Linked DNA regions of Saccharomyces cerevisiae S288C. The gene in region 2 interacts genetically with the main gene of each other region. Each region holds a gene or a part of one and is shown on either strand. Other genes may lie near its edges.

Region 1 (2,840 bases), on a different chromosome or scaffold from region 2:
GCTTTGTGACTGTCCCGGTCTTGTCTTCCCAAACTTTGCATATAACAAGGGTGAGCTCGTGTGTAATGGTGTTTTACCTATTGATCAATTACGTGATTATATTGGTCCAGCAGGTTTAGTAGCAGAAAGAATACCAAAGTATTACATTGAAGCGATTTATGGTATCCATATTCAAACCAAATCAAGGGATGAAGGTGGGAATGGGGATATACCAACTGCTCAAGAATTGTTAGTCGCATACGCCAGAGCTCGTGGTTATATGACTCAAGGTTACGGTTCTGCTGATGAACCAAGAGCAAGTCGTTATATATTGAAAGATTACGTCAATGGGAAATTACTGTATGTCAACCCTCCGCCCCATCTAGAGGATGATACACCTTACACTAGAGAAGAGTGTGAAGAATTTAACAAAGATTTATATGTGTTCGACAGATTACCGGACACCAGAAAGGAGCAAGTGCAAAATGCTGCTAAGGCTAAAGGCATTGATATCGTGGATTTAGCTCGTGATTTGAATCAGCTAACGTTTTCAGCTCACACTGGTGGTGACACACAAAAAGAAGCCAAATCTGTTACGCACGGTGGTAAACAAGCTGCATTGTACAATGCCGCTGAGGACTTGGATAGAGACTTCTTCAAGATGAACAACGTCGAAGGTAGATTAAGTACACCATTCCACAAAGTTCAAAATAGTTCAGCTGGTAAGAGACATAACAAAAAAAACAAAAGTAAAAATGCGAAAAGCAAAGTTTTTAGCATTGAAAATAATTAGCGGTAACTAACATATATCTTCTCAAAAAAACTGTGTACTATTATCTTTTCATCTCGCCAATTAATGACAGCGTTATTTGAGAATAGACCTAAGATAATAAAACTATGTTCGTTACCCGGACAAATTTTCTTGGAAGAATTTTTGAGTCCTAGAGATATTATAAAACGGCCCTCTATTAATTTGCTCTTTCTTTCCTCAGTTTAATTCTTCTTTCGAATAAAAAATAAAAATATCATGGCTCTTCAACACATTTCAACATGTTCAAGTAATTTGTGTTAGTGGATGACCATTTAGGGGCTGCTGGCCTGGTTACCGGGAGTTTTTCTTGGATCCAAGCTAGCTTTTCCGTCTGATTATCCTTAAGCTTCACAAATTACAATTTTTCCCACGCATTAAGAAATAAGCTCAAGATGCCTAAAATAAGTTCTATCCCGCCTTTTTTCGCTAACAATGACTGAGTATTCCCACAGTCTATAGTTTGATAGTAGATGGGCGGAAATTTTTCTCATATATTTACTTTTTATAGGAGAGTATATTTACGTACGTATAGTGATTGCATGTAGTTGCTCCCTATATCTTGTCATATGAGCGTGATACTGACCGATACCTGTTACAGATGTCGGTCTGGATTTGTTCGTTTTTCTTCCCTAAAGTAGGTCAGTATATATAAAATATGGCCGGAGGAAAGCTTCACCACTTTATCACCACTAAATTTATAAAGTAGAATACAATTTCAACATACACAGAGAATAAAAAAAGGTTGACAGGACACATAATAGCAAGGCAAGATGGCTGAAACTTCCAACGACCCCTTTCTGTCCTACGTTTTGAGTAGCAAACAATTAACTAATTTGAATCGTCTACGAAGGAAAGCAGTTACAAAACAACTGGGATCAAGTGACGACAATAAGGTCTCAGAGGAGTTTTTGAGGTATCAACATACTTATCAAAGAGAAGCATTTGAATATCTGCAAACAAAACATGACGCCCACAAAATAATGGAGTCACAGTACGAACAGTACCAAAGCAGTTCAAAAACAAGAAGATATAGTATCGATTTAGATTCTGTAGATGCAGTTGACACGGAATCGCAAACAGAATACCCAAATGAGGAGTTTATTGATAGAAACGAAGATAGCGAAGCTGTTATGGAGTTGAGAAAGAGATTGTTGGGGAAGGGACAGAATAAGGGTTTAGGATATGAAACTACGAAATCAGTCGATAGGCAAATTGAGGACCAGGACACGTTGCAACAGGATTTGATTCAGGATATGAGCAAACTTGTGGGCAGTTTGAAGCAAGGAGCTGTGGCATTTCAATCAGCACTTGATGAAGATAAGCAAGTTCTTGGAGCTGCAGAGATAGGTATTCAAGTTGCTTCTCAAGGTTTAATGGATGTTAGCGGTAAATTAAGGAAATATGACAAGAGTAAATTGAGTTACTTGTTTTATATTACTGTTTTCATTTTTATGATTCTCGGACTGGTGTTTACATTTATCATAATTCAATTATTCCCGGCCCTATAATGTAATTATAACGATGGAATGATGTTTTTTGGAAGAAAAATTCAACTGTTTATTAATATTTACGGCATTTTTTCATGTAGTTGAGATTATTCCTATTGAAAAAAGCAAATTGTGAGAAAAAAGTATACAATAAAATTTGTATAGGCTGCAGAATTCTCCTTTCCGTATAGTTGCCTACTTCCCGTCTCAAACTGAATCCTGCTATCTGATTGCTTTCTGTGTTGGTGCGGTGAATCTTTTTATACATATAATATTTGAAAAAGAATAAACATTTGAGAAAACAAAAGTAGCTAAACAAAACGACAAAATCATAACATTTCCTGATCTGACTGAAAGCTAATAGAACAGCAGTGTTCGATGAGGGTAAAATAAGGAGGGGTCTTCGGTTACGTTATACTAGTAAGTTGATTTTGATTTTAAGTCATATTATTGAACGCATTATGATGATACTCATAATGGACTAAATTTTTCTCATGTATAAGGTCCATAGTAGCCAAGTGCATTCCATTACAATGTTATTGATATTATCTGTGCTCTCAAAT
Region 2 (2,398 bases):
AGTACTATGCAGAGTAAAATGAATAGAACAATCACATATGACCGTATTTATACGTGTAATTAAAAAATATACGGACCATGTAAATAATAATATTATAAAATGCAGACAATGATGATGAGTATAGTACTACAGTAACGTCCTTCATTCATTACCTTTACTAGCAGTGATAAAAAGTTTTGAAAAAAAATGTGCTCCAGGGGAGGTTCGAACTCTCGACCTTCAGATTATGAGACTGACGCTCTTCCTACTGAGCTACTGAAGCTGTCTGTTATGGAGGATTCTAGCATTAAATGCTTTAATACTCAATAAAAGCAACAATGGAGAATAATTTATCAGCAACTAAATTTATAGACGAAGATCCTACGCCAAATCTTAGCTCCTTTATATTTAATATTGAAAAACATATGAATTTTAGGTTGAATCCTCAAAATGGAATTGATATTTCTACATAATAGTACTACGATTATTCTTCACTCTGTTTTATATGTGTCATTATGTTATTACATTATCAATCCTTGCATTTCAGCTTCGTCTAACTTCCATGACAGTTTCTCATACCTTATGTCATCATCTAACACCGTACATGATAACATACTGGTAGTGTAACTACTAGTTGATAGATGATAGTTCATTTTCATTCCAACAATTGTCGTTAGAGATCGCTACATAATCAACCTTTGCACTTCAGCTTCCATTAAATCTGATTAATGCTTCTTAATCTTTAAGCCATCTTCTTGCACCATAAATAGCAATGAAACCATTTAGTCTTCTATTTTCCACTTAAAGAACCAGGTTTTTGCATTTCAGCCATCTTAAATTAGACGACGGTTTAATTTCGGTGTAGTATCATAAAATTTCGGCCATCCTTCGACTCACGTATAATGATGGCCTCAGCGAGAGGATCAGCAACAAGTTACATCCACAATAATACGCGGAGTTATGAGATATTACAGTACCCTCCCCAAAAATATAAGGTTTACCGCAAGATCGTATCAGGAGAATGAACGGGTCTCTTAGTTTTTATCCACTATTCTTTCCACTCACGCCAATATACTAACCAATTGAAATGCTCATAACCAGAATGAACAGGCCGCATGCATTCTTTAGCCAACTTTCGATGAAAATACCCACTATGCAATGGTAAATTTCCGAAACAAAAAATTATACTTCAGTGTTCCCACAAAATAACGATATGTTTCTTTTCATTTTTCAATGAAAGCATGATTTTTTCCCTTCCAATGCCAAAATGCTAGTCCTATAAATGAAAAAAAAAGCTTTCTGCTATAAGAACAGCAAGGGGCATTTCAACTTACACATAATAGAAGGTGAGATAAAGACCATCGTGAATCCTAATAGAAACTGCGGGTTTCTTAGGATCATGGGTCGCGCAAAACCGCCAAGTTTACCATCAAAAAGCTACAAAGTTCAATTTACCCAATAGAATTCTAACGCCAAAGATTTGTAGTGATTCATATGAAATTTTCTTTATGCATCCAGTTATTACTATTGAGTTTCTCTCAAGATACATTCTCCAAAAAAAAAGCCTGTTCTCGCACAAACGACCTTAAGAAAGGTTTAAAACAGCTGTCACATTACATTATAGTAGATAAAAACACGAATGGCATTTTCTTAACTTGCAGGTGTACTCTCTATAGCATGTTTAACATATTTTCACCTCTTTATTGCAAACACTTTGGCGTTTCATATTCTGTCCATGTATATGCACCACAATGATTTTATTTTCTTTTGTATGCATTTTGTGACGATTTGACAACTGATGCATCATTTCGTTCCATCTATTTCGCTGTTCATGGCTTCTGTCTCTTTCTCTGTCTTTTTTAGCCATCTCGCAACTAGCTGGGAATGTTCTTTTTTCAGATCCGAGAGTTTTTGTTGTAAAACATTATTTTCAATGGTTCCACTAATCAATTCGTCATTCAACCTTTCCGTATTCTTATTTTTCAACGCAATAACTTCTTTCAATCTTCGTATTTCTTGCTCCTTACTTTTCAGTTCTTTTTGTAGAATTGCCAGTGTATTCAATAAAGCATCGTCATGGCTGACAATGTTGCCACCAATGGCGCCACTATTATCTTGAAACAACTCATTTAAATGGGCCTCCTTGTCGTTTCGATCTGTTAGTCTACGAATTAACAAATCATCCATGCTATCTGTTTGTGGATTGCTTCTTTCCTCCTTTGCTTTCTTCCTTTCTGTTATAATGAAATTGCCCATGGAATATGCGCCCTTAATACAGATTCGCGCAGGTTAATAACAAAAATCAACGTTAAATAAAGGTCAACTACAAACAGAATAAGTAAAAGCGAGCAAGTGTAGTAGCAATTTAGCACAACATATAAAACGCTATTATAATGGATGTTGTGCAGCAGAAACAGGA
Region 3 (3,563 bases), on a different chromosome or scaffold from region 2:
ACTTATTTACCGCCTTCATCTAAACCTGGACCGGTTTTGGTAACCATAGTCGACCCAAGTGAAACGTCTATGAGAAATAATAGCAATAGTAGTGTTTCCACCAGCAATAGTACCAATGACATTCTGCACTTAAACAAGTATACCGGTGAGAAAGCAATCTTTACTTATGTTGATGATACTGATAGGCAACTAATTGAATTGGCTCTGCAAATTGTGGGGCTGAAAATGAACGGTAAACTGGAAGATGCAAGAAATATTGCTAAAAGGATTGTTGGCAGTGATTCATCTCCATCTAATAATAACGCAGGATTACACTCACAGAATAGCTCTTTAAATTCGTACACGAATATGATGCGAAATATAAACGATGAACAATTGATCACTGAAGTTATTAAGTCATTTAAGAGAAATAATAATCTCTCTACCGTCAATCTTTCCATGTGTGACGTTAGGGGTAGAACTCTATTACATCTGGCAGCATTCAATAACTGGTATAGTCTTGTCTCATTACTAATCAAATATGGGTCGCATTTGAACGACCAAGATTTATTTGGTTTTACTCCGCTACATATGGCGTGTATTAATGGTGACTTGAGAATTATAAGACTATTGTTAGAATGCAACGTTAATATTATGAAGAAAACCAGAAACGGCTTTATCGCTAAACAGTTCTTCCTGATGAATTATACTGTCAACAAGACCAGATATTCTAATTATGAAACCAGTCTGTTTGACGACATTCTGACTAGATTAACGAAGAATACAACAGGATCCAGTGATACTCAACCGTTTGAGAGAAATGTATCCCAGTCAAGTTTCAACTCAAGTTTATTTGATGATGACGATGCTGATCATGACTATGTCCAAGAAAGAAAATATTTATTGGCGGATTCCGCTGCCCTTGCCCCCGAACAATCCAACTGTAATGACAATACGTCATTCTCAATCCTAGATTCGGATTCAGGTTATGACATAAGTGATTGTGAATCATCTTCAGATGAGATTGCTTTGGAGTTCTTTAACACCCACAAAATCAAGGACTTCTCTTCAAAGCCAAATGAAATACCAAAAACTACTAAGACTAGCATAGAGCCTGACGGATCTTTATGGAACAGAATGCTAACTCGTTTAAATGACGAGCTCCCAAAGTATGAAGACTTGTTCCCAAAAAAACCCAAAAACTGGGAACTTGGTAGCAAATCTGTGGAGATTGGGCCAGATAATTCTGCCCAAATGACCGTGGATGATTCTCAAACTTCTTCTGAAGACGATGAATTAGAAGCTTTACAGGTCGGGTTCAACACAATCTTTTCCAAGAAGCAAAACTTTCAGAATGATAAGATGCTCCTATTCTTTTGGATCCCCTTAACTTTAGTACTCTTATTATGTTTCACATTATCGAATTTGGGGAAAGATGATGATATGTTTCATAATTTATCCAAAATTGTTCAGGAATATTTAAGAATTGGTTTAGCCAAGGTACTACTAGGCAACGAAAGGATGAAAACCTCTTTTAAAATGCAGTTATCGAAGTTTCAAAACAATAACATTCTAAACGACATGCGAGTCAATTAAAGACATTTTTCTAGCTACATAATCCTTACACTATATAGATTCATTTTTTATTATTTTGCATTTTTGAATTTTATCTTCTTTATGTTACTGAATACTACTTATACTGTCTTCATTTTTTTTTTGCTTAGAATTATAAAGTTCAAGATCAAGGCCGAAAATTTTTTAGAACATGAAAAATTGAAAACTCATGGTACCTCATCTCGAAAAGATCCTAAGGGCCAAGTCAAGAATTCGTGTAGAAAAATGAGTGCTATAGGCGACAAGAACCAATTTCGTATCATTGTGGGCTCATACGAGCACAACATTTTGTGTTTATCCTTAGATATCCCAAATCAAAAGGAAAATGATGCAGCAAAGACACCACATTTTATGCCAATATTTCATTTTCAAGCCCATTCGTTGAGTATTAAATGTTTGGCTGTTTCAAGAAGATACCTAGTTTCTGGATCCAATGACGAGCACATCAGAATTTATGATTTGCAAAAGAGGAAGGAACTGGGTACTTTGTTAAGTCATCAGGGCTCTATTACTGCTCTACAATTCTCACATCCAGCTTCTTCCAGTGAGGATGCTGCTGTTTCAAAGGGGAGCAAGAATAGCAAATGGTTATTATCAGCATCAGAAGACCACAAAATTATGGTTTGGAGAGTAAAGGACTGGGAAACAGTGGGGACTTTAAAGGGACACACGGCAAGGGTTAATGATGTGGATATTCACCCCACCAATAGAATTGCCATCAGTGTTAGTGATGACCATTCTATACGTCTTTGGAATTTGATGACTCTAAGAAATGCTGCTGTACTAAAACTAAGAAAATATAATACAAACGGGACTTGTGTTAGATGGTTAGGCGCCAAAGGTGATTATTTTGCCGTGGGTTTAAGGGATAGGGTGCTTATTTATGAAACTGGATCGGCTAAAGTTTTTAAAGAAATAGTCTTTCAAAGGAAAACTCTTATGCATATTGAAACACATATTTTACCATTCGATAATAAGGAATACCTTTCTGTTGGTATCAGCGATGGTAATGTTCATTTCTATCCTTGTGAGGAGTTATTCGAAAAAGTTGAAGAAAATGAAAAGCAGGAAGATGATGACGACAAGGAGGATATCAGCCCCGCTTTTTCTTTATTGGGTCACACAAACCGTATTAAAGATTTCAAGTTTTATACGAATGAATTTGGTACCTACCTAGTCACCATTGGTTCTGATGGTAAAATTGTCGTATGGGATATGTCTACAAAAGAACAAGTAGCAGTCTACGACTGTGGCGAAAGGCTAAATTGCTTAACGCTATGCGATGAAAGCATTGAGAAATACAACACAATGAAGAAGAGGGATGCTGAAACAGCTGATATAGGTGACCAAAGTGAGGTGGAAAGTGATACCGAAGAATTAAAGAAGATAATGTTTGGTGAGAAGAAGAAACTCAATAAAAAGAAGCGGAAGCAATTGAAGAAGAGTAAAGTATCAGTAGAACTTGAATAAACGCCTTATACATGCGTGCAGCTCAGAATTGTTGCGTACTAAAGTTAGTTTATATGTATAATATAAAATAATTTATCTTAATCGTTAAAGATGATATGAAGTTTTGTCTTTATTGCTGTCATTGTTATATCGTTATTTGTGGAAAGGCTACACATTATTACAAGTCATCAAAAGCCACATCAAACTTGAAATCGTCAAACAGGGTACTTATGAGAAACCCCATGTCGCCTTCGGAGCAACATTCACAACATAATTCTACATTGGCCGCCTCGCCATTTGTTTCTAACGTATCTGCAGCAAGAACACAACAGAGTTTACCAACCGATGCTCAGAATGATCGTTTGCAGCAACCCTGGAACAGAACCAATACGGCTACGAGTCCCTACCAGTCGTTAGCAAATAGCCCTTTAATACAGAAGTTGCAAGCGAATATTATGACTCCGCACCAGCCATCTGCTAATTCTAATTCTAATTCCAATTCCATTACGGGCAATGTTGTG
Region 4 (2,805 bases), on a different chromosome or scaffold from region 2:
CAATCTTGAAGGGCAATCACATATTTTTTAGAGTCATTAGTTGGTGTAGTCGAATTCTAATTATAGAATTTAATTCAATAATAAAGATAACGCTATATCACTTGACAAGAACTTAGCATGTAACCAGATGAGTTATATTTGATAATACTTATTATTATTTTTCTGAGCTATGTCTGAACTATTAGCTTCCATAAAACCAATCAGCGCGTATGTGGTGTGGTGTGTGTTTTGTACCTTAGTTTTGTTTTTTTTATAAATGTATTCGAGTTATTGTTGAATGTGGTAACCCAAAAGCATGATATGAGTAATGTTTTAGTATTGTTTCAGAGTTGTTTCAGTAATGCTTGAGACAAGGAAAACATATAGTAGCAAACCTCTAATCCGGTAGTACTTAAGAAACTATAGTTTCTATGTACAAAAGCAGTAACTATGTAATTATTACATTTACATAACATATAGAAGGGTCCAATAAACTTACTACATTATGACATATAAACTAGATCGTAATTCACTACGTCAACAGTTCTTAATTTCGGGTCAGTCAATTCAGCGACAGGCGTAAAGCTTTATCGACCATCTCCAGTGTTCTGAGCACCGATATGCTCGTCATTACAATAATTATCTATACCACCGTAAGTGTTAAAATATATCTCAGACTTGAATGCCGAACCCGTGCCTGCACCGTCACCAGGTATGTCATCGTAATCAAGTGGCTCACCGTTTTTCGTGTCCTCAGCAGCAAAGCAGTATTTCCAATCCCTATTACCTGAAAAGAAATTCTGTAACTTCTCTTCAGCATAAGAATCAAAATTTCCTGCTCCACCTTCGTCATTCTGCCAGTTCTGTGCCAGGTCACCATAACTCTGACTATATGTCATTGATATCCATGAGGTGGCGAACTCTTGACTGCGTCTCTGTAACGATAGGGCCGAAGCGTTGCCACTTATATCAGGTACCCCTGGTACCGCTGCCACGATTTGATCGATGAGCATGCTCACATTATGTACGCTACTCGTGCTGATGTGGGTTCCATGCTCCGTAGTATACCCCACAAAGTTGATCTCAGCAGCACCGTCACGTTTAATAGTGTCATGTACTGCATACCCACTAAACTCTATTGTAACAAAATTACTACCAGTACCATTAGACAATGTTTGCCCATTGAGCACATGATCAGTGAGTGTTATAGTATGATTCAGTACATTAATAGTCTCACTTAACCCTCGCTTTGTTGCTGAGCCAGAACTCTTTCCCACTAAAACTGCTGCAACTATAACTGCTGAAGTTGCTAAAACAGCACCAGCTATAGGTGAACATATTCCGCTAGTGGATGCGATACAGGTTGCTGCGACCCAGTAAGGAGTAGCATAAGCGGCTGCAGCAATTAAAAATCCTCCTAGTCCTAATCCAGTCGCAAATGATCACCTAGCTCGCCGTACTAGAGCAGCAGTGTTGGCGCGGTCAGGTATAGCTCCAGTTCTAAGTGTGCTTAAAAATAATGAGTACGCTACCAAAAGCAGTGCAAAAATTATTGCAAACAATCTAACGATTCTAAACGTCCTTGTTGTCAAGTAATTTGGAGGGCTGCTATTCATGTCGTCTGTGTATGATCTATTCATTTTTTCATATATTTTTTTCTATTCTACATACATTATTTGGGATTACGATACAGTGTTCCAGAATTGTCACTTTATATAGATTTGTTACAATGCATGACACTTGCCAAAATAATCAAGCCCAATACCTAAAATTTGCAAGCGCGCCTTCAAAGAATGGCTCCCCGCTGATTTTTAAGAAATACTACTTTTATAAAAAATATCTCAAAACACCTTAGTTTTTTCCTATACACTTCTTCTATTGTTTAAAGGCCCTGACATTCTTGGTCTCCAGGCCGCTCAATATGCTTCGCACCACGGTAAAAGGCGGCTGCACATGTGGTAAGTCAACAAGGACTCTTTTCACTAATTAGCATGGTGTGCTATCACATGTCATCAAGCTTTCCATGAAATAAACCATTGATTGTAAGAGAACCACCCAACAAATCAAATCAAGATGCCAATCAAAGTTACAGACTGCGTCCTTTTTCCGCCAATTGATCTAAAACAAAATCTAAAGTCAGTAAACATAGAATTTCTGTCATTTTGCGTTTTTTCGACAAATACGCGCACTACCCTGAAATTATTATCATGAAGATTACTATATTTATATTTAAAGGTTAACCTCGAGTTCTATAATATTATGTCATACAAGCTCATTATGTTAGAAAGCGAGTTATGGAGGTTCAAGTTCAGATGCCTTGGTTTGGTTTACTAACTAATATTTGAAATTCTTGCTAAATATTTTCAGTACTCCAAAATCTGAATATTTCAGAATTTCATATCCAGACCCATTCTATGAGCCAAAGTAAACCCCGTGTACTTTCAAAAGCAATGCTACTCTTCCCAAAATAATATAATATATATATATAACTGATACATATAACGTGTTGGAGTCGTATAGTGTTACAGTCCATGATTATACTCACCTCCCAGTGTATTCGTTAATAGAACTACGTAATTGTAAGCCGCTGAAAAATAGCTGGTGTTGAAACAACGAAGACCTCACCTCGATGATACCAAAATTATTAAGAATAAATATAATGAAACTTGTTTGAAAAAGAGCGGGAGCTCTGCTAGATGGAAGAGTTGCGTACAATACTTTTTTTTGAAGATGAGAAAACACTGGCTAAGGTAAAGCAGGTTTCCTGTAAAAGCTGCTAAACCGTCTTTCACGGTTTTGTAATCAAAAAGGCTTCTTACTATCCTT

What was found.
Region 1: mutations in YMR158C-A (region 2) and USE1 together harm fitness more than expected from each alone (negative genetic interaction), as found in Saccharomyces cerevisiae (one large-scale study listed by BioGRID).
Region 3: mutations in YMR158C-A (region 2) and MAK11 together harm fitness more than expected from each alone (negative genetic interaction), as found in Saccharomyces cerevisiae (one large-scale study listed by BioGRID).
Region 4: mutations in YMR158C-A (region 2) and YER187W together harm fitness less than expected from each alone (positive genetic interaction), as found in Saccharomyces cerevisiae (one large-scale study listed by BioGRID).

What each region holds. Positions count from the first base shown.
Region 1 is NC_001139.9:315,782-318,621, forward strand, and holds USE1 (SNAP receptor USE1), read left to right. Parts: upstream 1-1,560; coding exon 1,561-2,298; downstream 2,299-2,840. Other genes in the region: ribosome biogenesis GTPase LSG1, read left to right, coding at 1-772. UniProt on the Saccharomyces cerevisiae protein: SNARE required for targeting and fusion of Golgi-derived retrograde transport vesicles with the ER.
Region 2 is NC_001145.3:572,694-575,091, forward strand, and holds YMR158C-A (uncharacterized protein), read right to left. Parts: upstream 639-2,398; coding exon 501-638; downstream 1-500. Other genes in the region: mitochondrial 37S ribosomal protein uS8m MRPS8, read left to right, coding at 1-22; ATG16 (Atg16p), read right to left, coding at 1,783-2,235; CVM1 (Cvm1p), read left to right, coding at 2,373-2,398.
Region 3 is NC_001143.9:396,844-400,406, reverse strand, and holds MAK11 (Mak11p), read left to right. Parts: upstream 1-1,656; coding exon 1,657-3,063; downstream 3,064-3,563. Other genes in the region: SPT23 (Spt23p), read left to right, coding at 1-1,575; anaphase promoting complex subunit CDC16, read left to right, coding at 3,159-3,563.
Region 4 is NC_001137.3:564,417-567,221, reverse strand, and holds YER187W (uncharacterized protein), read right to left. Parts: upstream 993-2,805; coding exon 567-992; downstream 1-566.